Linked DNA regions of Struthio camelus. The protein of the gene in region 2 interacts with the protein of the main gene of each other region in a pairwise test. Links are inferred from orthologs where the notes say so. Each region holds a gene or a part of one and is shown on either strand. Other genes may lie near its edges. The genes, in order: USP8, SNCA, CYCS and SQSTM1.

Evidence for each region.
Region 1: the proteins of SNCA (region 2) and USP8 interact in a two-hybrid assay, tested with the Homo sapiens proteins (2 studies listed by BioGRID, with this or other methods). The link is inferred for Struthio camelus from reciprocal best matches to the Homo sapiens genes SNCA and USP8.
Region 3: the proteins of SNCA (region 2) and CYCS interact in binary tests that used the Homo sapiens proteins (3 or more experiments, as listed by UniProt). The link is inferred for Struthio camelus from reciprocal best matches to the Homo sapiens genes SNCA and CYCS.
Region 4: the proteins of SNCA (region 2) and SQSTM1 interact in binary tests that used the Homo sapiens proteins (3 or more experiments, as listed by UniProt). The link is inferred for Struthio camelus from reciprocal best matches to the Homo sapiens genes SNCA and SQSTM1.

Annotation. Positions count from the first base shown.
Region 1 is NC_090953.1:12,457,897-12,465,551, reverse strand, and holds the start of USP8 (ubiquitin carboxyl-terminal hydrolase 8), read right to left. Parts: upstream 3,273-7,655; 5' UTR 3,107-3,272; intron 2,605-3,106; exon of another isoform or gene 2,330-2,604; intron 1-2,329. Other genes in the region: GABPB1 (GA-binding protein subunit beta-1), read left to right, coding at 7,233-7,235. UniProt on the Homo sapiens protein: Hydrolase that can remove conjugated ubiquitin from proteins and therefore plays an important regulatory role at the level of protein turnover by preventing degradation. Converts both 'Lys-48' an 'Lys-63'-linked ubiquitin chains.
Region 2 is NC_090945.1:13,020,946-13,028,400, forward strand, and holds the start of SNCA (alpha-synuclein), read right to left. Parts: upstream 3,345-7,455; 5' UTR 2,962-3,344; intron 1,190-2,961; 5' UTR 1,170-1,189; coding exon 1,049-1,169; intron 1-1,048. UniProt on the Homo sapiens protein: Neuronal protein that plays several roles in synaptic activity such as regulation of synaptic vesicle trafficking and subsequent neurotransmitter release.
Region 3 is NC_090943.1:38,123,220-38,130,735, forward strand, and holds CYCS (cytochrome c), read right to left. Parts: upstream 3,157-7,516; 5' UTR 3,026-3,156; exon of another isoform or gene 2,913-3,025; intron 1,838-2,912; 5' UTR 1,830-1,837; coding exon 1,661-1,829; intron 1,478-1,660; coding exon 1,329-1,477; 3' UTR 250-1,328; downstream 1-249. UniProt on the Homo sapiens protein: Electron carrier protein. The oxidized form of the cytochrome c heme group can accept an electron from the heme group of the cytochrome c1 subunit of cytochrome reductase.
Region 4 is NC_090954.1:7,034,065-7,041,697, reverse strand, and holds the start of SQSTM1 (sequestosome-1), read right to left. Parts: upstream 3,205-7,633; 5' UTR 3,091-3,204; coding exon 2,913-3,090; intron 2,836-2,912; coding exon 2,740-2,835; intron 1,992-2,739; coding exon 1,762-1,991; intron 1,622-1,761; coding exon 1,465-1,621; intron 993-1,464; coding exon 903-992; intron 392-902; coding exon 147-391; intron 1-146. UniProt on the Homo sapiens protein: Molecular adapter required for selective macroautophagy (aggrephagy) by acting as a bridge between polyubiquitinated proteins and autophagosomes.

The DNA.
Region 1 (7,655 bases), on a different chromosome or scaffold from region 2:
ACAACAACTCCTAGGTAAAGCATTGCTATCCATGTAGAGACAAGTAAGACCAAATGATCAGATATCCATTTATAAGAGATCGAAACATTAATAAAAAAGAGGTATACAGGCTATGAGTATTGCACTTTTCAGGCAGTCTTCCTCTCTTCCTTAGAGAGAAATGAACAAGACAAGCAATGGGCCCAAAATACTAGGTATTAGAAGGAAAAAACAACAACAAAACCTGAGAACTGTAATAGGCTAACTTATTCAAGAACAGCATGAGCCCCCCTCCTCCCACTTCTCTCCCTCGCTCTCCTCCTAAGCAGTAGTAAATCGTTCTGTTGCTGTATGTTCTGAGCAAGCGTACAGCCATAGGCTGGGTGCCCTATGGCAGCTAACATCCATTCTAGTTCATCAACAAGTTCTTCCTTGTCTCTTAGCATAAGCCCAGATTCCCTCCTCCTCACCTCATACCAGTCTCTAGCCACTTCTTAAAGAACTGCAGTTTGCTGCCGCCTTACTGCTAGTAATCTTATAGAAATCGGTGCGAGAAAAACCAGTTCATGAAACAAACTGTCTGTATTTGACACAAGAAACATCTGATGGGTAAGGGCCAGGCACCAGAATCATCATCTTCTGAAATCCAGAAGAACTGCTCACTTTCGCACTCGGACGCGAGTTTCTTCATTCACTGCACTTACTCCTCCTTGCTTCTAAGATTCAATAGAAACTTTTGCTAACTACTCTCACTTCTCCTTTTACTTTCCAAAAGTTTTTTCCAACTACTCTCTCACTTCCTTTTATCCACTGTGGGTCTCATCTTTTTATCTTACTGTCATCAGACATTCTATTCTGATTATTGTTTTGAAGTCAAGTTCTGTAGCTATTTACTGACAATTCATTTCCATGTAATAGAAACTTGTTATTGGCCTGCTAGCCTTTACCCTTTAGCATTTGCTACCTCAAATGAATGAGCTCTGTTCCCTGTCAGAATTGAGTAGGTGTTGGGAAGACTTTAGGATTTCAGAATCAAAGTCTGCTCCTTTATATATACATATAAGCAGCTGATTTTGAACCTAAGTTTTTGCATATATCCCATTCCTAATTTTATTGGTCTCAATACTTCCTCTAGCAAAATAAATTGCACAAATGAAGTTCAGGAGTAGTAAACAGACAGCAGCAAAGTGCACGGAGAAAGACCAACTACTGTGAAGTACATACTGCATCTGTGTTTGTTTCCACTAGAGGAGTAGCAACTGAACTGTACTTTTGATCAGGAATTTCATATCAATTTAATCAGGAGAAACTGTTGCTGGTCCAGTCTGCGTTGATTAGGTTACGCTCGCTTTTGCGAGCGTTCCATTTCCCCGTCGCTTCTGATCAACGTAGCAATACAACGGCAAAACCGAGGCGTAAGTGAACCCACCAAATAATACGTGTGGCTCTTTCATACATCCACAAGGGAAAGAGAATAGTTCCCTCCCCAGCAAGAGGAGAAAACTGGATCATAAAACCGTAAACGCAAGAAGTGATTCAAGTCATAATACCTAAATCTACTATTAATCAACTCTGTGAGGAGGTGGGAATGACCTGTTTCATGTTTACCAACCTTCTTCCTGAAAATGAAGATCAAAGTCTGGATCTATTTATCCTAAACCATGGCTGAAGCATTGTCTCCATCTCCTTTTTTATACTTAAGAGCACTGAAAATAAGGTGGATATCCAAAAAATACAAGGGAAATCATGCGTGGATATTGATGGCCATTCAAAATACTTAAAATGGATAGTTTTACACTGACAGAGAAACATACCTCTTGATAACAGGTTTTGCTACATCTAATTATTATGACTGTTTTATTAAGGATATGAGTAACCTGTAAGTGGAATGACCATAGCCAGAACAACGCACAGAAGCAGTTATGTTGCAAGTAGCACACGCTAAGGCGGTCTGAACTGACATGGTAAGTACTGTGCACCCATCAATTCAGGTATGTAATAAAGTATTGCACTTATTTTTGTGTCCAAGACTTCAGCAAAGAAGTGGCTTTCTCACAGGCATGAAGTTTTTCAGTTCTTTTGCAATTAAGTTTTATTACTTGTATTCTGTACACAGGGGGTTGGTTTTCTTAATATCAGTATTAACCTAGAGATACAGCACTTAAACATGACTGCATCTTAAAATTCAATCAGTACATTTATCTCTGTGAGCCATATGCATTTCTTGCAGGCTCTCGTACTGTTAAAGCTACAGACCTCGGTCCTACAACTTAATGCGCAGAGGCAGATTATAATCGCTGGGGCCCCTCCTAGCGCGGCCAGCACGCTGCCCCGGAGCACCTAAACTTACGCCTGTTTGCTGGGTGCTGTCAGTCATCGTAGCAGTTGCACAGCGTGGGTCTGTCTTGGGCCACGTACCGTTTTGAAACGAACGACCTCCGCGGCAAAGCTTTGGGACCCCTCTCATAGCGTCGTAGCAAGATCGTTTCTGACAGCGTTTGCTGATCCAACAGTCAACAGTTCAACTAACACTGACTTCTGCGGGGTGGGGAGGAGGAGGGTAGTTCACGACGAAGTTATTTTAAAAGGTTAGGTTTTATAGGGGAAGTTTGAGAGTTAAGCAATCTACGTTTTTAAAAGAAAAAAAAAAGCAGCGTCACTTTATTTAGATTAAAAAGCTACTTGAAATCCGCCCAACGTGCACGAGCAGCGTAGGTAATGGAAAGCGGGGGAGGGGAAGGCGAGGTTTAACGCTCCTGCACGGTTACGAACAGGTTAAAGCCGGCTGGCAGCCCTGCGCCGCGCCAGGCCCGCGGTAACGGGCGCCGCGGCCCGGCGCCAGGCCACGGCCAGGGCTTCTCCGGCGCCGCGGCCCTCGGCGCGGGCACCGCTCCCGCCCCGCCCGCTCTTCCCCGGGGGCTGCGGGCTGCCCAAGGTCACCGCGGCGCGGCCGGGCCGCAGGGCTCGCGGCAGCGCCGGCACCCGCCGGGCCTCCGCGCAGCGCGGCGCGCCCTCGGCCGCCCCCGGCTCCGCTCCGCGCGGCGGCGCCGGGCCCGGGGCTCCCCCGCAAGGGCGCCCCCCCGGCCGCCCGCCTCCCGCCCGGCCTCCGCACTCCTCCCGCACTCACCGCGGCGGGATCGCGCTGCCTCAGCCCGCCGGCCCGCGGCAGGCCATGTCCGAGCGCGGCGGCCGAGGAGACGCTACGCGGCCATGGCTGCGGAGGCGGAACTCGGCGGCAGCGCCCGCCCCGGGCCGCCGCTCCCCCCGGGGGCGGGGACTCTCCGCCGCCCTGCGCGGGCGGGGGGATCGGCGGCGGCGCCGCCAGAGCGGCCGGGGGCGGGGCGGGGCGGGGCAGGGGAGCGCGACGGCGGCCGCACCTCACGCCTACCTCAGGGGCGGCAAGCGTGTGCCGGCCTGACCGTGCCGCGGGGTTTGAAACGCTGGGAGCAGCGAGGGGAGGGGGTGCTGCCGCGGCTGGTTCCCGTGGCGGTCGGTGGGGCGGGTCGGGTCGTCGAGATCTCACGCAGGCAGGAGGACGACGCGGTGTCCCGCCACGTTACCCGTCTTGCCCCTACCTGCCTAGCGGTGGGGGAATGTAACGAAGATACTGCAATCTGCTGCTCCGTTTTTGCGATCTGATCAATGTGTGCAAGGATCTAAAGGGAAGGTGTTAAGAGGATGGGGCCAGACCCTTCTCACTGGTGCCCAGCAACAGGACAAGCGGCAACGGGCACAAACTGAAACACAGGAAGTTCCGTCTGAACACGAGGAAAAACTTCTTTCCTGTGAGGGTGGCTGAACACTGGACCAGGTAGCCCAGAGAGGTGGTGGAGTCTCCTTCCCTGGAGATAATCAAAACCCGCCTGGACGCGATGCTGGACAACGTGCTCGAGGTGACCCTGCTTGAGCAGGGGGGTTGGACTAGGTGATCTCCAGAGGTCCCTCCCGACCTCAACCATTCTGTGATTCTGTGATTTTGCCAATGGAAAGATCTTGTGCACTGGAGCAGTTTCCCTTGGCCATTTATTGGTTTTTTTTTTTTTCAGTCTACCTTGTAGACTAGAGAAGATGGCCTGTTACCAGTATTTCACACGTTTACGTTTCTTGTTTCAGCATGCCTTTTAATAGTGTATCCTTGAAGCATGCTCAAGCTCAGATCACTTAATGCTTGCAGAGACTGGCAAAGTAATCCTTTGTGTGAAGTGTGCACATATACGGCATCCACAACATACCATTTTGCCATAACAATGGGTTACATACTGATACTGTAAGTATGATTTTAAAGATCCACAATAACGAAATATTAGCTGCGGATACTATTGCAGCATCTGTGAGGTTAGTGCTGTGCACCCCCTCAGCACTGCCGCCAAGCCCTGGGCGGTGCGATCTGCACTGCGTCTTTCCTTCAGCAGCGGAGGGGCAGAGATGATGGAGGTGGGCTGTGGTCTTTCCTGCAAAGTGCTGGGGCAGAACAGGGCCAGGGAAGAGCATCTGTGCTCAGAGAGGTGGGGAGAGAAGAGTGGGTGCTAACACCGTTTTGTGCTGCAGGATCCAGCATAGAATGAAGCTGGTGGGGAGATCCCCCTCTCCCTCAGGAAGAGCAGGTGGGCTGGGAAACTGAAGTTAACGAAGATGGACAGAAGGAGAAGGATGCTTGTCTTCATGTAACCCTCCAAAACTCTACAAAACTCTATTGAGTAATTGTCCAGAAGGCTGAATCGTATCACAATACTTCATGGTACTGTAATGCTGGTTGGTATCAGGTATCATGAAAGGCTCAAATAATATCCTCCATCTCTACTTTGCAGACCAGATATGCAAAAGCTCCTGGGACAAGTTAAGTACAGCTCTATGCCTTCTCCTATATTATGCATTCATAGAGATTAATATCAAAGTGAGTTGAAATATTCTAACAACATTCAACAGGATTGAATGCTATTAATAACACTATGGTCTTGTACAATACTTTTTTCAGAACTGCTCCAATTGTTTTAGGAGAGATCGGTAGGAAGTCATGCAAGAAAGTTATGATAGCAACAAGAAAAGATTTAAGTTCCCTGATGTCAAAGACTGCGTCCTAAGCGTGCAAATTAATGCTGAGTATCATACTAGCTGCTGTCCAAAATGGGCTCAGTGTCCCTTTTAATATTTAACTTATATGAAGGAATTGTGTCAGAAGGTCTTTTGGTCTTACTTGTACGGGCAAAACCAAACCATATATAGAAAGGTATCATGGAGGACCTGCCTATGCAATTAGTTTTACCTTATTCAAGAACTTGTTAGAACATGCTACTATGCTGACTGTGTTATAACATGCTGCCTTAGGTGTTGCCTTAGGTTGAAACACATTTTCCTATCAGCACATATGTTACTGTGTAGCAGTACCAAACAAATAAACAAAGGAATTTAAAACAGCAGAAATCAGAATGTGTTTGTTAGATTATTTGGTTAACAAGACCTAAAAATTATTCTCACATGACTGGATAAAATAAAGGAAAAGAAACAACATACTTCACAGATGCAAACTGTGTTTTGACTTGCCTATATTAGACATCAAATGTCTCTCTCTTAAATGTACTTTTGATGAATTCTGTCAAATGAAAATACCATTAGAGATTACTATTTCAAAGATGGACGTTGTACCCATGATAATGAAAACTCACATACGGTGTTAATGGAACTTTAACGAAATGTATACTGCATTCCTAACTCTATGAAAGATTTTCTGTGATACAGATAATTTCATTTTTTCCATACTACTGCAGCCAAGACCACAAAAAATTCCTGCTGGTTGCTGCACACCTGTGAGGACATAGTAACGTTTTCTGTATAATCAACTGCTACTGCGTAAATGACAACTCGTAATATGCCAGGGGAAATGCTTTTGTTTAGAGGCACAAAACACTTATCAATAATGGAAAAGAGATGTAATGAATTTTGGAGCTAAAGTTTCTTTACTCTGATGGCAAAAGCTGCAAGAACGAGGTTTCAACTTGTTTTTAGTGCCCCCTTCTGGCTGATCAGTCCTAGAAAAATAAGTAAACCGCCTCTCGGACATGTCAACAGGTCCCAGAGCGAGGTGACCTATAAAGGAGGATTTAACTGCCTTTCCAAAAAGCGTGTGGAGAATTCGTCCCGTTAACCTAACCCAAAGCAAGAAGTCCACGAGAACTGGACGGAGTCCTGTGGACACAGCGGGCAGCAGCGTGAGCACAGCCCGTACGCTCAGACAGGAGGCCTCAGTTCTCCCTCCCATGTAGGAGCAGGAAAAGTCAACTTGTTTCTGAACTTGGTGTGGGACAGTCTGTCCCGCACTAAACGGATCAGTTCCAGTGGTGAGTAGAGGATTCAGTCCTGTAGCATTTCTGAGGCAACGTTAGTTCTTTGCAAGCTCGTTATCTGCATTTTCTTTAAAGACATTTAGGGAAGTCAAGGGCAAAAAATAATGGCTATGAGCACATCGTTGTGACAAATATTCCCCTAATTATCTAGGTGGCCTGACCATCTCCAAAAACAACTAAAGGAGAGTTCTGTGACTGATCCCTTTCCTGAAGGATGTAGGTCAGGGGATCTACCCTTTACAGCAGTACTGGAGGCTGCCTGACACAATAGTTCTGTGGGGAATCCCAGCTCGAGCTTTTTGCAGCTTGGTTGAAAGAAATCTCAGAAAAACATTTCGTGCACTGAGGTTATCAGGATCGACGTGAGTTTGAGGTCAAGGCCAGCGCTGTTTGGCACAGGCAGGGGCAGTGATGGTTTAGGATCACTTGCGACTTGTCACCCACACCAGGTCCTGTCTTTATGACCCCAAAGCGTGGCTAAAAACCTTGCTCAGACAGGTCAGCCAGGGCAGCAGGGCCCGGGAGCACAGGCAGAGCCCCAGCAGCCACAGGGCAGTCAAAGCTGCCCCTGCGGCAAAAGGGAGCCTTAACAGGACCCCTTTTAAGGACTGGCAGGGCCCCCCCTTCCCTCTTTCGTAAACTGCTCGCAGGGAGGCTCCCGCCCTCCCCCGTGGCCCCGTGACAGCTCGCGGCCACCCGCCGCAGCCCCGTCAGGGCCGGCGGCAGGCGGCCAGCGCCCTGCCCCCCGCCGGGCGGGAAGCGCCACAGAACATGGCGGGCGCCTCCAGCCGCCGCTTCCCCCGCCTTTCCCGGCGCCGCCGCGCATGCGCGGCAGGCGGCGCCGAGGCCGTATCCCTCCGCCGAGCCCCTTTTGTCGGGGATATTTGTGTAATAAGATAATACCTGCGCCCCATGGTAAGTGCCGGCGCCCCGCCAAGCGCTGCCGGCGCGGCGGCCCCGCGCGGCCCCGCGCAGCCCGGCCCCGCTGGCGGCGGGGCAGCGCTGGGCTCGGCGCGCCCCTCCCCTCCGCCCGCCGTGTCCCTCCGCCAGGCGCAGCGGGGACTTTTGTGTGGGGCTTTTGGGCGCCGATGAGCGGCGGCCTCCGGCGCCCCTGGCTGTTGTCGCGGGCGGCGGCGGCCGGGCCGGCAGCACGGTAAGGCCCCCATCCCCGCGCCCCGTCTCTCCCCCACCCCCCCGGGCCGGCCAAGCTTTTCCAGGTCAGTCTGCGCCTTTGTATAGGGCCCTGTTACCGGATGTGGAAGTTGATCTCTTCGCTGGTAAAAAATAATTCCACTTCCCCCGGAACCCGGCGCCGCGGCTCCCTCCGCAGCGCCC
Region 2 (7,455 bases):
CAAAGTAGTAGTATATTTTCTTTTCCATTCTTCTACAGCCCAACTTAATTTGATGAACAGGAGAGGCAGATCCACAAGTGTTTAAGCAACTGTTTATTCATAATCTTGACAGATTCTTTTCCTGGGAATTTTTCATGGCAGCATTTGCAAGATAGTCCTCTACAGCCTGCTGCTAAGTAAAGATGATGATCACACAGCTACAGTACTCATCTGAGATTTACACAGAATGTCATCCCTGGCTCTGTGCCAAGTTAATTAAGTGGCTTATCTAGACTACACAATATTTCCCCACTTTCTCCATTGTTACCTGCCCTATCTCAGTTGTAGTAGCTCTTCATTAATGAGGCATAGAGAGAAGCAGCTATGGATGTACAGTTGTGTTGAACATGAGGGTAATCTCAGAAGACAAGATGACACTGCCACACAAAAATGTTACTGCTGGGGATCTTAAAAACTGAGAAAAGAGAGAACAGGCTCCTTCCTAATGAGCGCGTTCCCTTCCACTTCATTTTATTCCGAGACAAAGCAGCCAGCATGGTTTATGATCAGCTCCTGAGTGAACCTCTCAAGCTTCTTCTCATAAAGAAAGAAAAAACTGCTGAAAACCCACAGGTTCTACAGGATTCTATGAAGCCTCTTTCCATTTTAGCTTTTATATCATTTACTGTATCAAAAAAAATCACATCTCCAACCTTAATGGAGTATACTTCTTGAACAGAGTGCCAGCTGGTCTCCTGTGCTGTAAGGCACCATCTATGATGCACATCTTGTTCTGTATAGGGCTACATATATGGCTCCACAGTGTAGCAACACAGACAGCACAGTGCAACAGCTTAAAACCAATGTTCAGCTTCAAAGAAACGAAACCCAGGAGGGCTCAACTCATCTTGTTTGTCTTCCAAGGTTCTCCTATGAGCTTTCTTTTTTAAAAAAAGAAAGAACGAAAAACCCAGAAGAGTAGCTCTGAGAACCCAACCTTCATTCTTGCAGATGAGCACAAACATCAGGGAACACCAGACTAGCAGCATGATCTCCGCTGCTCACCTACCCACATAGAGGACGCCCTCTTTCGTCTTTCCTGCTGCTTCTGCCACACCCTGCTTGGTTTTTTCTGCTGCTGCTACGACTCCCTCCTTCGCCTTGGAGAGCCCTTTCATGAACACATCCATGGCTGCAGAATCACACAGCTCTGGAGAAGAGAGGAAAAACCACCACACACACACAGGTCAAATAGAGGTTTTCTGCTTTTTTCAGAAAAGGAAAATTTTGGTCAAATTGATTGGAATCAGTTATTTAAAAATTAGACTATAGATAATTTACACCCATCTATTTTGTAGCTTTCATCCACATTTCCCTAGTAATACGTACATACTAAGCTAGCATTCAGTATTTCAGATAAACTATACAACAGCTAAACACAAAGAGGACTGTTACACGAATCTCCTTTACATTTTCTCATACGTTGCCACACATAACAAATTAAACAGCACTGCAAGAGCAGTACTCTCACAAGCCAAGAACGGGTTCGGAAATTTCAACAGAAACCTATAAATAAAGGGGTTGGATAACGCAGTGCCAATAGGAAGATGGATTCGTTGCTACGACAAGTGCTTTCACTGCCTCTACCAAGGCACCGCTCCCTTCAAAGTGAAGTTCTGTTCATGTACTGATTGCAAGATTCAGCCCCGTGATTTGATGACACTCCACATCAGCTCATGCAGAGGAAAAAAGGCAACATAAACACTGCCAACTTTAAAAAAAATCCTAAGTGACAAAGGTTCACTTGCTATTGTTAGGAGAAAATGCTGTTATAACCAAAAAGGACCTACAGCAAATAAAAAGAGCTGAGTTCTTCCCCCAGTATGCAGCATTTTGTGCACAGTCAGTGTCACTCTTCTGCAAACTGAGTTTCTCTGTGTGTTCTCTGCATGCACCACGAATGAGAAAAGATTTTGTAAAGAGGGGAAAAAAAAGCAAGGATATGCAATGTTTAAAGCAGAAAAGCTAGCAAACTAGTTCTGCGACAGATGCGCAACCCAGCACTACGTTTAAATTAAAACTAAAAAGTCAAGTTCCCTTCAACAAATGAGTTATCAACCGCCTTTTTTTTTTTCCTTCTTCTTTCCCCACCCACACAGAAAAAAGAATCAGCGCCCGTTATTTTCTCCTCTGCGCTGAAGGCGGAGTAGGAGGAACGCACGTCTAGGGAAACACCTGGGCTGCGGCAGCTTTCTACCAGCTTGTGAGCAGCGGTTGGAGAGGGGCAGCCGCCACCATCACCACCAGCCCGCCGGACCCTCCCGCTCGCGGCGCCATTTCCCCACCGCCCCGCGCGCCGCCCGCTTCCAACCAACCGTTACCCAACGGTCGCCCAACGGCCGCGCGCCCAACGGCCGCCGGCACGTCCCCAGCCACGGGGGCAGCGCCAACAGGTACGTGGGCACCTACGGAGGTGGGCGGCGCCACCGCATATACATTTATACATATATATATATATATATATTTAGAGAGAGAGGCACCTACAGAGAGGGAGGGAGGGCAGCGTGACCTGCGTACATGGAGGCACCTACTCAGAGAGAGAGTGGGCAGGGCGACGTGGCCATATATTTTTTATATATATATATATATATATATACACATACACGTATAGACAGGCACCTAGTGAGAAGAAGAGCAGGGCGACGTGACCAGCGGGGCACCCACGAGCTCCCCCTGACACAGACAGGACAAGCTGGCAAAACCACCTGACTTCGTCCCCCCGCCCCGTCCCCCCAGAATGATGTTCAATGGGAGGTGTGTATGTAAATAAATATATATATATTATATATAATACCGAAGCCCAGCCCTAGCCATTACAGGAACGGAAAGGGACGTTCCCGGCTGCCACACCACGCGGCGCCCTCTCCCCCCCTCCCCCGGAGCGCCCCGGGCGCCCCCCCCCCCCCCTTCACCGCCACTTACCGCCGGGCTCCGCCGCCGCGGACCCTTTCTGAGGAGGCTCTGAAGCGAGGAAAAGGGCGAAGCGCGGAGAGGCCCGAGGGGAGCTGCCCCCTTCTCAGTACATCCCTGAGGCGCGGGAGAGCGAGCCGGGTCTCCTGGCGCCACCTCGATGGCAGCCCGGCAAGCAGCGAGTGTGAGGGAGAGGCAGGGCGAGGGGTGGAGAGAGAAGCACCGCGGGAGGGAGGGAAGTAGGGGCGGAGGGAGGCTCCCATCACACACACCCCCCTTCTCCCGCCCCACCCTGTGGTGGGGTTTGCTGCGGGGGGACGGCCCCCGCCGCCTGCTCCCCACGGGAGAATCGCGTCAGGGGCCTCACGTATCTTTGGCACCCACCTCCGTGCTTCGTCAGTGAAAACGAAGTTGGAGGCATGATAAATTGGGAGCTTCCCCCCCTCCCCAGTCAAGGCAGATCCAGAGGGGAAGACAAGTAAAAGAGAGACCAGGGTTCTCGCTCACCTGTGGCTCTGCACACCCACTACCTGCTCAAAACAGAGTCTTTAGACACCTGGAAGTGTATGTATTTGATGGCAGTTGCAATCCACCTATGTTCCACTTCATTCAGGCTTAGGAATTTTTTGTAAGCCTCTTGCTACTTTTTCCTCTACTTCTAAATCCTTGCTCTTAAGTGACTTCAGAGTTAAATGCCACTGAGTTTTCATAATATTTATGTTCCCAGGTCATTTTTTATGCAGAGACTGATGCTTTTGAGGATGCAATTTGACTTAGTCCTATCACACAAGAAATCTGCACTTCAAGTCAGGAACATGACAAAACACACAGCCTAGCTCCTGCCAATCCCTGTGCCCCTCTTAGCATCCTCCACCATACACTTCATAGCCACTGCTACTCATGTCTCAATCTGATGCATTTATGAAACTTTTTCCTCAGTAAAGGGAAAGCTGTCAGACTTGTTCTCTATTTTGGTAGCCCTATTTAGGCATGACAAGCCAAGACCAGCAGGAGACAAGGTATTAGAGCAGATGGACCTGCAGCCATAGTACACTAGTTCATGTACTGTTTGAAATCCTGCATGACCTACAGAAAGTTTCCCTCTCCATTTGTTTATTCTACTCCAAAAGGACAGACAGAACACGCTGTAGCCAATACAACGATCTGACTTGCAAGAAACATCTTCCATTCCTCATCCTATGTAGGAATTTGCTGCTCCCCTGGTTTTAGTTTCATTCTGAACATGCAGCTGGAAGGTTCCTTTAGAAGCCTTGATGTTTCTCTACTGTATAAGAAAACTTGTTTGGTTTATCCTGCTACCAGTTTTAATCAGGTGTTCAGCAGTGTACTGTCTTTATGTAAGATATTGATAGAGAATATGAATCATTTCCTCATAATTCTACCTTCAAGAAAGGCTTTAAAAGCATAGTAATTACATTAGGTACCTCATCTCCTTCACACTAAGGAAATGTTCGTTCTTGATAGGGAGACAACTAACTTGTGGGCAAAGGAACATAGTTATCATTTATTAGACAGTAGATCAAAGGGGTATGCTTTCTACATGTGAGAAGTTAGTTTTCTTGCCACATTATTGCTATTTACAGTAATAGAATTCCCAAAGATTATTTAATTCTCAGTTATTTAAGTATTTCTACTTAATATTCAACAAAAAGCTTAATCCCTTGGAGTTCAGGGTTCCCCACACGCACTTGACATAAGGAAAGAACATGTATGGAATGCACCTAGTAGCTTCATTTTTTTCACTGACCATATATGTCAATTCTTTCTGGACTGTCTTAAATGTACATGTCAAAACTGATACATCTGCTCTAGAATGTAGTTTGTTGAATCTTCAGAGTCAAGGAGAGTAGAGCAGCTGGAAAATTCCCCGTGTGAACTATCTACATACTGAAGTGCCTAGGATCTTTACAGAGTTAGGCCTTTTACCAATAGTTCTTAAGTTCCCAGGTACCTTTTACAAGGAACATTCCACTAACAGAAATTTTCCAAGATTAGTTTCAAGAATATAAAGGCTTCTTTGCAAAATACAGTTGACAATCTGAGACTCAGTGTGCACTGATTCTGCTACATCACAACATCTACCACAGCCTATCATCAGTATTTTATGATGTTTGTATATAAGACACTTTAGATGCCTTGGAGAAAGGATTTCAGCAATATATAGAAGATACATACACTAACAGAGGGTATTTTTGTTTTAGAAAATGGTGTTACCAGGCCTTAATCTTTTCGTTTATGACAGCTCCTTCCGACACTGTCAGAAAAGTCAAGATTCAGAAATAACCTGTAGAGTTCCAGGTCAATAGACAGGTTGTAGAAACTCAGTAAAAATTGGCTTATGCTTCACTCTGGGAAACAGGCAGTTATGGAGACACAAGTCAATGAAAATCAGTAGTTTTTGTCACAGGACAAGCAGGATTGTTAGCTGCATTTTTATTTCAGTCACAGATTTAACTGAGCATTATATTTCAGCTACTTTAAAATTTTAAGTAACAGTAGCAGAAACCAGAAAAACTTTCTAGGAATTCAAAGGATAAGATTCAGAAGTACAAATATATGTTTTTACAAACTCCCTGCTAAGCTGCAATCCTGAAGAGCCCCAGAGAAGTAAGAAGTTCTGTTGTCTTAGAACTCCTCTGCACCCGTGCATCACATTGCAGTGTGACAACCAAATTTAACAATGAAGTTTTTAATCAGTGAGTAGTTCCTGGCAGATTATATCAAAAGCATACTTATTTTCACAAGCTATTTCAAACATTCCTTTTTCGTTATATTGTTGCCTCCAAGGAGGGAGGCAGCTAAACACCCTATATACAAATATAGGACATGTTATATACAAATGCCCTATAGCTAGCTAAAAGACACAAGCCATCTCAGGAAATGGATAATGAAATAGTTAAAACTTCTATTCTCCTTAATTAGACATTCTGTAACCAATCACTCAGCTAAACCTCAAACTCCCTCCACAAAATAATAAAATAGCAACTACTTTCAATTTCAAGCTCCCTTTTGCCAACTTAAGAATTAAAGGTAAACTAAAGAAACTTCTAAGGCTACTTTAAGAAGCACCAAGGTGCTTTAGTGAGAAGCATAACATTACTGACACTAGCCAAATGATCATAAGTCAGTTACCAAAACAATTTAAGTTTGGGGGGGGGGGGGGGGAGAGCATTATACTATTAAACTTCAGTGCTCAGTTTTATAAAGAGGTTGGCTACTGCCTTTTGTGGCAAGTATTGCCACTTTCACCAAAGCATATTGATCTGACTGAAGTCATAACAGTTTCTTATGTGCTATAACTGCTGTTTCTCTCATGCTTACCTCTTACAAAGTTTCCACAGAAGACCAAATCACCAGCATAAAACTTAGTGCCACTAGCCTTAAGTATTCTTATGTAAGTTGTAGCCAATTTTGAACCTAACTGACCTGCTTCACTTAAAGGGACATCTGCACCATGTCCAGGTGTACAGTTAGAGTCAAAGTCTTAGTAGTATTTCTTACATCACTTATACCCTTCTACAACAGTAAAAGATGAATACAGAAAAATAGAGCAGCACACAATGAAATACTCCCCCACAATGATTGTTTACAGAAGCTATGAGGAGAAGCCTTTGATAACATGGTAGAAAGCTTAAGCTCAAGTTCTACCCTTCATTCTGCCACTAAAATAAAACCCTGCTTACTATAAAAGCCTTACTGTCACAAAGTATTTTTAAAGTATTTCCTGTAGCCTCAGCGATACCATAGCAAAAACAGTGTAACATCTTACCCTTTAGTAGAAGCTTCATATTGGTAGAAAGCTAACTTTTAGGAGAGCACATAAAGCAGTTACAAAAACACAAGGCCTACTCAGACTCACCCTACACACCAACTTTAACGTTGGCAAGCCCAGCAGTTTATATACTTTAGGGCTTGTCGGAAGCCATTCTTTCATCATTCCTTACAGCTGTGTGAAACACTACTACCCAGGCCAGTAACCTTAGTCCCTAAATTAGAATGCCTTTCTAAAGGACCAGTATTGAGCTCCTTGTTTAAAAGTTATCTTCTCGCTTTGAAGTTAGATTTTCTTTGTCCGGTATGTAAGTGAGTATGAAAATAAAATCCTGCTTTTTGATAAATTAATATAAAACTGGATTTATTTTGTTAAAACTCTATGAAGAAGAACTTGGAGGTTTACAGCTGCTTCTTAGCCTTTGTAAGGCTTCTTCTTTGTCTCGTATTTATCAAAAGGAAGTATGTTGTTCTAGTACTAAGCAAAGCAACAGCTTGCAGGATAATAAAAACAGCTAGTTAAAAGTAGAGAGGCAAAGACAAGAGGGATCAGTTAGCACAGTAGAAATAAGATTTAAACATTCAGCTGTAAGATTCAAAATAGCTGCCTCTGAAAAATTTCAGATTGGAGCATAAGAGACACAAAAGGAAAAAAAAAAGAGTATGAATATGATAAATTCTTCATTCTGCAAATGGGTGGGACTTAGTCTAGAA
Region 3 (7,516 bases), on a different chromosome or scaffold from region 2:
AGCACAGTAGAAACAGCGTGTAAGAGAACACCGGTGGAAGAATCTGGCTTCTCTATTTCTAGTTCAACCTACCTTACAACTTCACTGCATTCGTTTTTCACATCAACTCCATCAGCATTTACTTTTTTCATGCTGAGCTTTTACTTTTCTTGTAAGAAGTGTTTTTCAGGTGTAAAACCCGAAACCAAACATATAGCTTTTTTCTACACTCCCATTTTGTCTCACTAAATTTCAGACACATACAGCAAACAAGATTTTGAGTTCTTTAATTTACAATGTTGATCACTCTTTGAATTGGGCCTTGCCACTGGTACACAGTAAATACATTCAGCTTAACAATTCACTTAGTATGAAAAGATGCAGTTAGAACTTTAAAAACACACTATTTTACACTGCATGAAATAGAACCTTCTAAAGTAATGACACAAGGCAAGCACAGACACAGAGGAAGACAGCCTCCTTTTAGTCTACCAGTGCATTCTTGCCTACACCCCTTCAGCAGAATTTGCTTGTAACAATAGATTTTAGGTTAACACTCCTGTTGAAGTGAGATTTAGTAACATTCAGCTTAGTGTTCAGCACTTATCTTTCCAGGACAGTACAGTTCTCTGTTCCATTTATTAAGCTATGAACAGGTATGTTCTGAAGAGTTATTGAACAAAGGGTTTCAACAACACTTCAAAAATTGAAAATTTTTCTGATATAGTCTATGCTCTACTGGTGCATGCAGCTCTCAAAGTCTGGATAAACAGGCAACATGCTTCCCCTAGAAGTGGGTTGGTACAACTGCCATATCACAGGTAGTACTTATGAAGTCAGATGAACTTGCATTCTTATCCCAAGCTTTAGCCAGATGAACGTATACAACCACACATTGCACTGGTCAGGATTAGAAAAATACCGTTTTGTTATCTTGCAGGTAATGTTACAAATGATGCATTTGGAAGGATGCAAAAACCCACCCTACTTTTTTTAAACCACGAAGAGGTGGGCTGCCAAAGCTATTATGCTGTTTGCAATGACTCGCTTGATATTTTTTACAATGAAGAGGCAGGAAATGTTTATTTTTTTTCCTCCATTTAATTCCATGATCAAGAATGACTGAACATTGTATTCACTGATGTCTACCCAGTTACATAAGGTTTCCTTAAGTTATGGCTGCCAAACAAGCATGTATTCCAACCACCCACCACAAGCAACATTATTTGGCGAGTGAGGCAAATTTTAAGGTTAGATACAGTACATGTAAAAATAGAAAGTTTAAAAACCATCACAGACATTTCCATTGCCATCTCCTTTGTGAAATAAATAAGGCAGCAGATAAAAGTTTACTTAGAAGTAGCATCTTTGAGATATGCTATTAAATCTGCTCTCTCAGACTTCTTCTTAATACCCGCAAAAATCATCTTTGTTCCTGGGATGTACTTCTTTGGATTTTCCAAATACTCCATCAGAGTATCCTCACCCCAGGTGATTCCTAGCGAAAAGGAGGAAAAAAAAGAGACAGTGACCTTAAAAAATAAGCAAACAAATCCCTCCCCCCCCAACATTTATTTTCTTGTCCTCCATGGTATTTTACTTTTTGGCAGACTTCCGGACCTATCACTGAAAGCTTGCTGTTTTTGTGCCAAGTAACTTAAAAGTGCTCTTTTGAGTTTACCTTTATTCTTATTAGCATCTGTGTAAGAGAAGCCCTCAGCTTGTCCAGTCTTACGTCCAAACAGGCCATTCAGGTTGGGTCCAGTCTTGTGCTTGCCTCCCTTTTCAACTGTATGGCACTGGGAACATTTCTGGACAAAGATCTTCTTCCCCTTCTCAATATCTCCCATTTTCAGTACTAGGGTGAGAACATATACAGAGGTTAATGTCACAACATCAAGGTCAACTATTTAACAGAAGCCTTAAAAGGGTCCTGTTGGTTTACAAAACCATATACACTAGCCCATTAATCTCCAGAGTTTCTTCCCACAGATAGGGTTTCTGGGTCTGGAGTTTCTGGGTAGAAACTTCCTGGGTTTGAAGATTAGCATAGAATCACTGAACTAAGCAGAACATATTTAAGGTGATAAACATCATGCTTGAACAGCAGGAAAAGCCTTCCCCCACCCAAAGTAATTGCTTTACAGCATTTAATATCACTCTACCCTTCAGAAATTATTTCAGCAATATTTATTTCCCTTCCTGTCACATAGCTTCAATATCTCCATTAAGACAGTTCCCTAGTCATGAACAATCTTGTATAAAAAAAATCATCCTCACTGATACACTCGTAAGAAGGACAAACTAACGATCTGTGTATTTTTCCATTTCTGCTCGAAAAGGAACCCAGCACACCACCTAGTAAGGAGCCAAGGGAGGCAGGCAAGCAACTTGCCCGCCTGCCTCCCGCCACGAGCCGGCATGCCTCCTCAGCACCCGCCAGGAGCAACGCTATTTGCATACAAGCCCTCAAAGGCAACCGCAATTCCGAGGCTGCCCTTGAGGCGGGCAGCCCGCCCGCCGCGCGGGCACAGCCTCGCGGCGAGCGCTGCTCCTCTCCTCCTGACACGGCCCCAGGGCCGCGGCCGGCGCCGCCACCCTGCAAGGGCGCAAGGGGCCGGCGGCGCGACCACCTCTCCCGAGCGGGCCCGGGTGCCCCCCCAGGGCATCCCGGGACACGGACGCCCTCGCCACTAGGCCCCACGGTGACCTTCTTGCCGCAGCCCGGCCGCCTGCTTAGGCCGCGACGCCGGGCTCCTCCGCCTGGGTCGACGGAGGTGGGCAGCGGGCGCCCCGGCCCCGGCCCGGCCCGGCCCAACCCTCCCCTTCCCCCCCCCCCAGGGCCTAACGGTCCCGCCGAGCCACGGTAACCGCTGGCTGGCTGGCTGGCTGGCAGCGGCTCCCCGCCGCCCCCCGCCGGCGGCTGCACGCACCTGCGTGCCCGGCCGCCCCGCGCCGCGCCGCGCCGCGCCGCGCCCACGGCGGTGATCACCAGCCCGACCGCCCGCTCACCGTCCCGACGACTGAGCCCAAGGACACGCCGTACCCCGCCCTATGTAAGCCGGTGTCGCTGCAACCAAGCCACGCCGGCCTCGGCCCGCCCCTGTTTTAGCGCGGCAGCCAGTCAAGGACCGCCTTAGAGACCTCTGATTGGCTCTCGCCCCCGTCCGCCAAGATAGACGTCACGGCGCTGGAGGCTAGCGGGGTAGGTTGCGGCGAGGGGGAGCCGGGTTGCCTTCTCCTTCCCTCTCCCCCTCCCCCCTCCTCCTTGCGGAAGGGCATCAGACGTAACGCTGATACGTAAGGAGCGTCAGGAGGCACGAGCGCGGGGCGGGTCCCCGGCGCGTGCGCACAAGGGAATGCGAAGCAAGGGTCACGAGGCGCCCCGCGGAGGCTGCGACCTTAGCGGGCGGCTCGGGAGGCCGCGTGGCGGCGCGGTGGGCGGGGCCCGGCCCGGCCCGACCGTGACGTGGTGGGGGAGCGCCCAGCCCCGCCCCTCCCCTCCCCCGGCGCGGCTGTGACGGCCGTTGCCGCCCGTTGCCTCTGGGGGTTTCAAGTTCTGGCACTTTCGAAAGCTTGAGGAGACGATCACCGTGAGTGCGGGCGTGTTTCTTTTTTAAGTCAAGGCGAGCAAGGGGCTAAGCCCCTACTTTGAGGCTGTTGCATTTTAAAGAGTTGTTTAAGAGAAACCGGAGAATAAAGTGATAGAAATATCGCAGTTAGCAAAAGGATGCTAAAAATCTCGCAAACTTGAGAAAGATAAGCGTGTTAGTGAAGGTGCCACCATAAAGAACTGAGGAGGAGGCAAAAGCACATCCGTATCTTAGATCTCGTGTGGAATGCTAAAGTCTTTGAGTTTTGAAAAAGCTAAGAGTGTTATTGAAAGTGCCACCTTAAGAAAAGAGGAGGGTGCCCCAGACCCATTGTCCCAGCAAGTTGGACAATGTTGTAAAGCTTGAAAAAAATTATATCAATAAACTACAAGTATTTAAAACAGGATTTGAATATTGAATTTCAGATGTAAGCACCATCTTCTTTCTGTCCTTGACAAAGAGGATGAAGAGTTCTTAAAAAGCCTCCTGTAGTAGTAATATCCAGTGTTCAAAAGGCAGAACGTCACAAAAGGTGAACTATTTGCCCTAATTATTGACATTAAACAAAATGCCAGCGTAACAGAATTTCCCAGAAGTGCCTGGCATTTGAACGAGAGTAACATCTTTTTGCATGCTCTTGCGCTATGCTGGAACTGATGTGTGATCATGTACAAAGCTGGATGGCTGTTACCACGTTGTGGAGCAGAGCTTATCTGGAGTGCCAACGTGAAGAATGAAGGAATAAGGACAGGGTAAAAAGACAGCAAAGGTTCTTCTGATGTCAAATTTTGCTGGCAATTGATAAGATTATTCAGCCAATTGTCCCTTATAAGTTGGAGAGTGTATGTTTTATGCACTGCTTATCATGTCTGCGGCATCAAACAGATGTGTCCATCCAGTTATTAACACTTCGTCACTAGGTATATGCATAATATGATACTAAGCTATAACAATTACCATATATACATAATCATCTTCTTGACTATAAACTTACTATAATAAAACTACTTTGCTTTTAATATATAGCTAAGTTCATATACTTTATGGCAAGCCAGGTAATATATGTGCAATTGAGCCACTGTAAATAGGTATCTTGACTTTTGTTTCGCGAAATTCAAATCATGCCAACCTCCCAAAATTAGGAGGTTGGCTGAAGAGATGTTGCGTAAAAACTAAGTATATTTCTATTCATTTTAATCACCATCTGATTTTGAGCATTCATGATGCGCTTGACTTATGTTTTTAGACTTTTTACCACAATTGTATGGGCTATAGACTAATTTTTTAAGTAAGGGTTGAGTGTCTCATATGATTCTAGGAGCTAACTTTATGAAACTTATATCATAACACTTAGGATAAAACCCCTGGTTTCTTCTATCTTTAAAAGAGGAATGAGCTGAAAGCACCTTCTAAGCTGCTTTAAGAATTGACAATAATTCTTAAGCTTCTTTAAGCACTTGATTAGGACTGATGCAAGCTTCTTTGAGCACTTGATGTGGACTGGAGCCCACGGACGTTCTTTCAAAAGTTCTCCCCTTCTTATCTTCACAGAACACAGACTCTTTGTAACTCTCATTTCTAGTATGTTTTGCCTTCCAAGTGCAGGTATGCTCCTGCGGAGCATTGCATGTTGAGCTTTACAGCTAACCTTTCCGAGGCACGTGTTGAGACATTGTAGCAATGTTATTTTTATTTTTCTGGGAAAGCTATTTTTGAAAGTTGTGCCTTAATTCAAGACAATTTAATCCATTTTTGGTAAACTTTAATAAAATAATGTTCTCAGGGAACATACTAGATCTGTGAGACTTTCAGCCATAAAGGTGAATATGCTAAAGATCAGCCTGTAAAATGAACAGAGGCAGAGAGTCTTCTCTGCCTCATACCTGACTGTTCAGATGTCTACTTTAAGAGTGACTGCCTCTGGTTTTGATGTAGTACCATTTTAGACAGGTATAAATGATATTAAAGTATTCACGGGATTGCATACTTTTTAAATTGTTCAGTAGAAGCTGATGTTCTGCCTAACATACGCTGATTTAGAAAATAAGTTTTCACCAGTAAGAACGGGTACCTCAAATGGAGAGGATTTGACTTAATGCGTTTGCGGGTTACCTAAGCATGAATCTGGAGCAGTGCAGTGGTAAGAACTGTTGTTGTGTCAGTGATTTAGTCTGTAATCACGGTGCTGGATGCTGGTTTTAAGAAACTGCCATACCCTGACTCATAAATCTTACCAAGTCATAGAACAGTACTGATGAATTTGCACCATTAGCATTTCTGAATTGTACTGAGGCTGTTCAGAGAACCACGTGTTTTTAATTGTCTTTTGAAATTGTATAGGAGGAAGGAGTAGTTCTCCATAGATTTTCAGGAATACAGCTGGGCTGGGCTGGAACCCTATGCTTTGAGGGTCACTTTTCAGCATTGTTAGGGTGCGAGTCCTGTAATTTGGAAGGTACTGATTGTCTTATGTTTATTATCTCTTTTAGTGGGTATTTGGACAGAGGACAGGAAGCTGTTCAGCTATACTCCGAACAGGTAAGGAAGACAGAGAGAAGACATGTTAGACTGAAGAGTCCTCGGATGAAAATGGCTGATGAATGGTGTCTCTCAAATCTTTGCTACTTGCTGTGTTTTGCACAGTCTGTGTTAGAGAAGATAAATATGCTACTCTTTGGAACAGCGGGAAAGGCAGAGTCTCTGAGATACTCTGGAGTCACCATATATTAGGCTCCTTCTTCAGGCAAAGCTAAATTTGTCCATAACATACACTTTTGTGTAGCATTTTTGTCAAACAAATCCTAGTTGGATTTTTAAGCTCTGTGTGTGGTCATGTCATGTGGCACTGTATTTATGCTTTCTGCGTTTGTCTCAGCCAACATTGTGATATCTCTGTGTTTTTTTTTTTAATAAATGAAAAGAGCTATATTAAACTGAATATTTGGATTGCATTCAATGCATATTTGTCGTCAGTGAAAAGATAAAAGCTATTGTCAAATTAAAAAGAATTGTTGTATTGTCACCTGTCTGTGCTTTGAAGATCACATGCTTGGGGCAGTTTGGTACAGAAATATTTTCTGCATCCTAGGGTACAGTGTGTCAGTTGTAGGATTTGATCTTAGCAGAGGAAGGAGGACCTCAAGAGTTCTTCCTGTATCTGCTGTTCATGTGGTTTTGTAGGGTGAGTTTGGAGGCAACTGCCTGGAACTAGGGAAGAAACCTCCTACTGTAGGAGGTTTCAGGAGGAGGGAGAGGCTGAAAATTGAGGAAGCAGGATGTTGTTCTCAGCTCCAGTTAGGCACAGGGTGAGGCAACACCCTGTAAACTATTGCAGGCATTGCAGTAAACTATTAGAAAAGTAAGTGGGCCATGTGCAATTGAATGTTAACATTTCAAGTGGGACATTGCACACTTCTCACCTCAGGGCAGCAAACAGGTAGCACAGGTAAAGAGAGACCAGCCAGTTCAGGCAGGGTGCAAAGCACAGTGGGCAGCTGGAAGGTTGCCAAAATATTTGATAACTGAAACACTCACACAACCTTATAATGCTGTGACTTACTGAGTGAAAAATTTCGTAGAAGCACAGAATCATTGAGGTTGGAAGGAACCTCAGGAGATGGTCCAGTCCAGCTGCCCCGGTTCAGAGAAGCATCAACTAGAACAGCTTGCCCAGGGTTGTGTCCAGTGGATTTAGAATATGGAGACTCTACAGCTTCTCTGGGAAACCTATTCTAGCATTCAACCACCATTACAGTAAAGCAAAGTTTTTTCTTATGTTCAGCTGGACTTTCCTGTGTTTCAGTTTGTGCCTATTGTTTCTTTCCTTTCACTGGGCACCACTGAGAAGAGTCTGGCTCTGTTTCCTTTGTTCCCTCCCATCAGATATTTGTACACATTGATAAAATCTCCCCTGAGCTTTCTCTTCTCCAGACTAAACAGTCCCA
Region 4 (7,633 bases), on a different chromosome or scaffold from region 2:
GAAGGTACACCCACAGTTAAGTCCCAGCACAGAAGCAGCTGAATGCTCTGAAGCAGAAAGAGACTGTTAATCACTTAATTGGCTAAAATCTTAATATTCAGCCCCACCATGCACAGCATATTAAATGCATGTAGTGGTTCTTGTACCTGGGACTGGAAGTTTCCTTCTTCCATTTGTGTGGGCAGAGGATCTATCATCATGTCTTGTATCTGCTCTGCAACAGCACTCACTTCTGTAGCAGGATCTGTGCTATTCCAGTCTGGTTTGGTCTGACTATTCTGGTCAACAGTACTGCTGCTGGGCTCAGCACTGTTCTTCTCTTGATGGGGAGAAGCAGGAGTCACTTTGCTCCTCTGTCCTCCATGTTCCACATCAATATCAACTTCAATACCTATAAAAGCATTTGAGAGGAAGAGTTTTACAGATTTTTTTCCAAAGCTGAGCCCTGAAAGAGCCTTTGCTAATCCTGGCCTAAACTCGTTAGCATTTCTACAGTTTCCTATGGAACATGCAGGAATTAAGTGAGAAACTTTTGTTTTAAAACAAAGAAGAGTTAACCAGCAGACAGCCTCATCTTCCTCTTGGGACAAGTGCTCCATACATTTAGAGGGTCAAAGCAGAAGTTGTACACATCCATATAAGCAAGGCAAAGCCCTGAGTCATCTCTGACTTCATGATACAGTCAAAACATATCGTCTTTCCTCATTTCCTTCCAAATGGGGACTCCGGAAGGGTATTAAGTGGATGTTTTAAGTCTAGGCGTTTTTAGGACAGGGAATAAGTTAAGGTTTTCAGGCTTGGCAGCATGAGGTATCAGGTATCAGTCACAACAGCTCATTGCTCCTGTTAAAAGGAGCCACACAAAGCCAGTCTCAGGGATGGACAAACCGGAAGTCACTTACCCAGGGGACTCAGAAAAGCTGCAACACTCTCCCCAACATTCTTTAAGAAGGTGACATTGGGGTCCTGAGGCTGGCTGTTAGTAGAAGCTTCTAGAAAAACAGTTTCTGTTAGCACACAGCAGCTCAGTGGGGAGACGGCATTTATAGAGCATATCCCTCAAGAGATCTCCGTATTTGTTTTCTATTGCTTATCTACACTGCACAAGAAAGGCAGTATAGCGACGTGAGCCTTAACAAGGCTCTTGTCATTGGTTTTCTGTTCCAGAGCTAGTTCATTAGCCATGCTGCGAGAGGCACGTCTAGAGCACAGTAGTGATGAGCTTGATTTAACATAGCTCTCCTTGATACGATCTCAAGTAGTATCTCTGTATCCTCCTCTATTGCATGGGCCCAAGCATGCCTTAAGACAATCCTACTCTGCCCTGGAAGGTGCTAATTATTTTAAGCAAATAGTTTCAGTGTTTTTCCACCCAGATTCCACAATTCCACACCATGCTGCAGAAGCCTCATCTACCCCGCCACTTCCACCACCACCTTTGTTTACCAGAGCCTCTCCTCTTACCTTGCTCAGTGGGTGGACTGGAGGCTGCAGCACTGGCTTGGGCTTGTTCAGAGTTTTGACAAGGAGCTGGAGGAACAGGATATCCCCAGCGATGCATCCATGGGAAGGGTGGAACACCATGCCGCATCTTACGGAGCCAACGTCCTCGGGGAAGCCACTGGAAAGAGTAATGTTCATGTGACTGTGTTCATACAAAGATTACGAGCAGCTGAAACTAAAGGAATTGATTTGGTTTAGCAGCTTTCAGGGAAAATCCTTCTGCTATGGAGGGAGATTAGCAAACAGGATTTTGCTCACCTCAAACGGATGTAGCAGTGGACTTTGAAACATCACCATGTTGTGCTCCTTGTGGATGCCCTTACTCTCACAGGTGCTGCACAAGTCATAGTCTGGACAGACAGTGCACTTGAACCTAGCACCCACCACTGGTCCTTCACAGCCATCACAGATCACATTGGGATGCACCATATCACGGGGAGGCTCCTGGCTGCATTGTGCACGATGTTCTCGCTTGCACTCTTTTTTCTCTGTTAAGGAAAGGAGACTGTGTCTAGAACCAGGTTACTATTTAAAGGCTGGGAATCAGGCAGGGGAGAAGGAAACAAACAGCACTTGTTACAGCAGGATTGACTTACTAGGTCAGTTTATTTTTATGCTAGCTGCCAAACACAAGCCGGGGGCACGTAAGAGAACCTGAACCAAGAGTGAAGTGGTTTCACCAAAATACCTGCTCCTTGGTCTGAGCAGGCCTTATCCTTAATAGATTCTCTTTCCATGTTTGCATTTGATTAACAGCGCGCTACTCCGTTTGGCTTCTTGCCCTACCTTCCTGGGCATCGTCCAGACAAAAGGCTTCATAAGAGGGATCTAAGAAATGCCACGAGACATAACAGATGCAAATGGGGACAACAGCGACAGCTTGTTTAACTCCTTAGACTGTGGACAAGGCTCTGGAGGTATCTAAATCAACACAAGGCAGTAGGGGGCAACTAAGCACTGATGAAAGGACTGCAATTTCAGCTTCTTGACATATCACTGTTAACATTAACGAGATCAGTGCCAGTCACGTGTTTCCAGGTAGCCAGCACAACTAAAATGGCCTTTTCTGACCAGCTGAGACTACAGGGCTAGGAGGAAACCGGTAAGTTTGTCCACCTTACCTCAGCAGAGGGGTCTCCTACTTTGTCCTTCGTTCAGCCCCTCCTCCAGAGGCTGCGGGCTACACCGGCCCCCCGGGGACGGGGCGGGTGGCCTGTTCAGGGCCAAAAACGTTACCTTTGATGTAAACGCGGAGAACACCGTCCTGGACATAGGGCAGGGCCAGCTCCAGTTCTTCATCGCTGGAAAAAGCGATCAGGTCCCCGTCTTCATCTAGAGAGAGCGGGACTCGCCGTCAGACCCCTCGGCCGGGTGGCACCAGACGCCCCCCGCCCCCCGGCCCCGCTCACCCTTGTAGTGCATGCGGAAGGCGGGCGGCGGCCCGGCCCGCAGCAGCCCCTGGAAGAGCTCGGCGACGCGGTCGTGGATGGCCTGGTAGCGGGCGGGCGGCGGCAGGGAGAAGCGGCGGATCTCGCGGGCCGCCTCCTCCTTGCCCAGCAGGTAGGCTTTGACCGTCAGAGCCGCCATGGCTGTGGCGCAGCAGGAATTGCCGTCGGCGAGCCGGGCCAGCGAGCGAGCGGGCAGAGCGCAGCGCGGCGGGCGGGGCGGCGCCCACCCGCCCGCCTTTATAGCGCCGGGCCGGGGGGGGGGGCCCCGCAGCTCGCCCCGCCCCTGGCGCCCAGGCTCCGCCCCTAGCGTCTAAGACGTTCTTCAGATTCCTGGCCCCGCTTCCAGGCCCCGCCCCCCCGCTTCCAGGCCCCGCCCCTGTCCCCGCCCCCGGGTTCTAGGCTCGCCCCAGATGCCGGCCCCTCCCCCCAGCGGCAGGCTGTGCCCCGGTTCTAGGCTGGCGCCGGGTTCTGGCTAGCAGGGGAACCCCCGGGAGCCGGGCCCACCCCCAGGGCCAGCCGCCTCCTCCCCGCCGGGGCCGCGCAGCCTCCGGTAGACCCCGGCTGCTGCCGCCGATGCAAAGGGGTCGTTCCCCCCCCCCCCCCGTTAAACCACCTGCAGCCGCAGCAGTCAGCACCTAGCGTCAGGGGCTCGAGTTTGCTCCTGGGCTGCCGGCCCCGAAGCTGCGGTTTCCGCGCCCGGGGCTGGATCCTCGGCCCTCGGAGCACCTCCGGGGAGCGAGGGGGCGCGGGAGATGCAGGAACGCGTCCCCGCGGGGGAACCGTGCTCGCGGCTGCCGGGGTTGAGCAGGTGCCATCGCCGCCCTGCGGCTGCCACCGCCGCGGGGTGGGCTGGGCGCAGAGGGACCCGGCTGGGAGCGCCGCCCTGGAGGGGAACAATAACGTGTCAGCTAACAATCTTTCCTGAATCCTTCTTTTTTTTTGGGAGGAGGGCTAAAAATAAAGATACGAGGATAAACACAACTGACATTAAGGATGCTGTTCTGGGGACTTTCCAAGCCGGTTGGCAGCGGTGGTTTTCTGCGGATCAGATGCAGTCGACAGGCCTCTTAGGCCGCAGGAGAGTCAGCTGGCCGACAGCGCTATCTGCCCCTTCCAAGCGTAACTGAATCAAGAGGGATCAATGACTATTAGGTTCCTAGTTGGTGTTAATTTCCTCTCACCTAAGGGCCTCGCTGCCCTCAGTGTTAGCGACATGTTTCTCAGTCTGAGAGAATACAAATTTAGGAGAAACTGTGTCATGATTTATCGTCTTTTGAAATCAAGAGAAAGTTAAGTTTGCTTTTCCACGATGGGGAGGGAGTTTGTTTCTCGACCTGATACATGGGGAAACAGCTGCCCTTCCACATAGATAAATGTTTGGCAGACGTGTGGCAATTCTGAAGTCGAGGCATTTTCTGGAAAACAGCGTTCAGGGTAGATAAAATTGCCTTTTTTTAACTTCAAAGGCCCGGTTTGCTTCCTAGCTATTTCACGGCCGGTTCTCCAACCAGAAGCGATGAGTTAACGTTTAACCGGGAGAGGAAGTAAGCGACGCTGGGCGGCGAATGATTCAGCACGGTTAGCAGCACTCAGTACTGAGCGGTTTGGGCACGAAGCGAAGGCGCAGGCCTCTCGCCCTCCCTTCCCCCCGGTTGCCGCGCGTGCGTCTTATCTCTGAAAGCGCCGCTGAAGGGTGACGGCCTGACATCACCGTACGCGTCGCACGTTGTTGCACGAAGCCAGCAGAGCGGCGGGCGGGCGCGGGCCGAGCGGCGCCGGGTGCTGCCGGCCCGTCCGAGCCGCCTCCCCAGGCGTCGCCGGGGACCCGCTGCCCCATCCGTCGCCTCCCATCTTTGAGGACCCCCCTGGTTTGGAGCCAGGGACGCGGCTGTCGGGAAATTGTTTCCGTAGGTGCCCAGTTGGCGTCCTGCCCCAGCAGCTCCTGCCGCCGCCGCCCCGGTGCAGACCCTGCTGCACCCTCCGCCGCGATCCCGCAGCGGTTTGTTCCGAAGCTGACGGGTCCTTTCAAGGTGGTCGCGTCTCCGGATTAACGTCGACGCCTGTAATTCTCGAGAGAGTCACCGCGTTAAGCGCGGAAGCCCAAGTTTCGCTCCGGGTGAACTTTAAGCCACTTGGCAAACGTGGAAAGGGCCAAAAGCCAGAGGGAATTTCCCCTCGCGCCTGCTGCGTGCTGAGTCACCCTCGCCTTCCCCTGACATCACGCACTTTTTCAAAACACACGGAAAACAAAGCTTTACCCCCCCCCCCCCGGCCTTGTCCTTAGCTGAGCTCCGGGATCACGGGGCAGCGGTGACTCGCGCCGCCCCCTCCAGCGCGGCGCCGGGGGCCCAGCTGGCCGGGGGGGCCCCGAGAAACGCCGCTGCGTCCCCCCCGCCGCGGCTGGCTGCGGCCCCGGCCCCGCTGCACTCGCCCCCCCGCCCCCCCCCCGGGTTTGGCTTGAGCTCGCCTGAACTCTGCGCGTTTTCTGTGCGTTTCGGGGCAGCTATCCGCGGTGGAACAGCAAAGGAGACGGGGGGGGGGGGGAGGAAAAGCTGTTACAGTTGCAAATTTTGACGTTAGGGAGGAAGGGCTCAATGTTAAAAAATAAGAAATAAACTACTCAATGTTTAAAAAAAAAGAAAACAACTATGACAAAGGAGCAATGATCGTCCCCACAGCTCGTGGTGCTCCCTCTGCACCCGCTCCCTGCTGGGAAGCGTTTAAAAATATCGCGTGGGATTGGTGCTCCGCGGGCGCGATCGCTGCACATCCCCCCCATGTCCCCGCTCCCTGTGGCCTCAGCAAGCTCCCCGGGGGCGCAGGAGGGCGGCCAGCCGCCTCTCCGCTTGCGAGCCTGCTGGCGGCGGCGGCGGCTGCTGCCGCTGCTGCTGCTGGTGCTGCTGCCGCCGCTGCTGCGGCTTCTCCAGCGGAGGCGATTTCTGCCGAAAGCCTCGCTTCAGCGGGGCCCGCGACGCGTCGGGCCTTGGGATCCCCCTTCGGGGCCCTGCGGGCTGCGTGGGGGAACCGAGGGGGCGAGAGGCGGGTGACTCAGCCCCGTGTCCCGTGTCCCGTGATCGCCTCCCTGCCGTGACCGCCCGTCCCAGGCGGGAGGGAGGCGGGCGCGCAGCGGCCGGACCCCCGAGCCCACCTCCCGCCTCCTCTCTCCGGAGCCGGCTGCCCCTCAGCGGCCTCTTACAGCGCGTTTTAGGAACGCGCGTGTGTAGGAGCTGGGCTGAGGCGCGAGGGTCACGACCAGAAAGTTTGCTCTGGAGAACTGGATGCGGAAAAGCTTCTCTCTCAGAAGCGCAGGCAGAAGGGAAGGTCAAGCTGTCCTCCGTTTTTGAGGTTTTTTCCCAAGGTTAGCTCATTCAGTACCTTTTGTCAGTGGTGTCACGCGGAAGTGCGCTCTAAGCACAGAAGAGTCTAGGACTCTTTTTTCCGAAGAGGAATAAGTAGGGGAAAAAACCTCTGTTTAGCAGGCGCGCAGGGCAAACATCGTGGCCGTGCTGTGCTGCGCAGGCAGGAGGGCTCTCGTGTTTCCAAAAGCGAGGGGGAACTTTTCGCAGCCTCCGCTGACTGCTCGAGGTGACTGCTGCTCTGCAAAGGTGACTCGTGGCTTCCGCCCCGAATTAAAGCCGGAGCGTATGAGCAAACCTGATGTAAACACCCTGCAATGAAATCCGGCATCATTTGGAAACGTTTGTAGCGGAGTAAACCAAGTTATCATGCTCTTCAAGCGCAGGGCTGTGTAAAACAAACAGGAAATGAAGTTACTGTGTTTCATGAAAAGGGTAAAACAGCAAGCAGGCTTTGCTTAAATCAGCCCTGGGACGGACCGAGCGTGACCTGATCCCAGATGGGCCAAACTCCAGAGCCGAGCTCTGGGGAGAGCCGGGTTAAATCAGCTATAAAGCCGGGTTACGTTTTGCATCTAGAAGTAATGTATGCTTTCTATTTTTAATTTTTGTTACAGCCTCCAGCCCCGGGGGTTGCTATCAGGCTGCCTTCAGTGGAAGGCCCTGCTTTCTGAAACGGGCTCGGGATTGCCAACGTCAACGGCTCAAAGAGCGTGAGATCAGCTCAAAAAGCACGTTCTCTCTGTTTATTCGCCATCGGGGTTTTATGTCTTTGCAGTTCACATTTTAAACTTGGCACGGCAAAAGCACCCAGAAGGCCTGTCAGAACTTACTTTTTAAACAGAGTAAATGTCAAAACTGAAGCAGAAGGGAGGAACTTTAAGAGTAAATGCGAACTTTGTCGGTCTGAGATAAAAGTTGCAACCGCTGGCAATTTCGCTTAGCCCCACCTTTTTCCAACAGGGCCCAAGGTTTTTGATGTGCAATGGCAGTATAAAGTTCCTCCATTTCTTCAGACCTTTATGAAGACAAAGTGTAAAAGCTGAAATTAGATTAAGCTTTGTCTTAGGAGAACACTGTAATTAATTGTCTTGGAGAAACTATTCAGATTATCCTTTTCTCTTCTGCTGCCGATAAACCCACATCCCAAGTGTCAGGAACATTTTGCGTATCTGAAAATAAACGCCGAGCATCCGATGCACTAAACTGCGTCACGTCGTTTCGCCGAACTCTTGAACGGCAGAGAGATGGCGTGCGCCTTTCCCACCAGCAGCTGTGACCCGTCAGCTACCTCTGGAGGGTTTTTCCATTAATTCCTGTGAACCT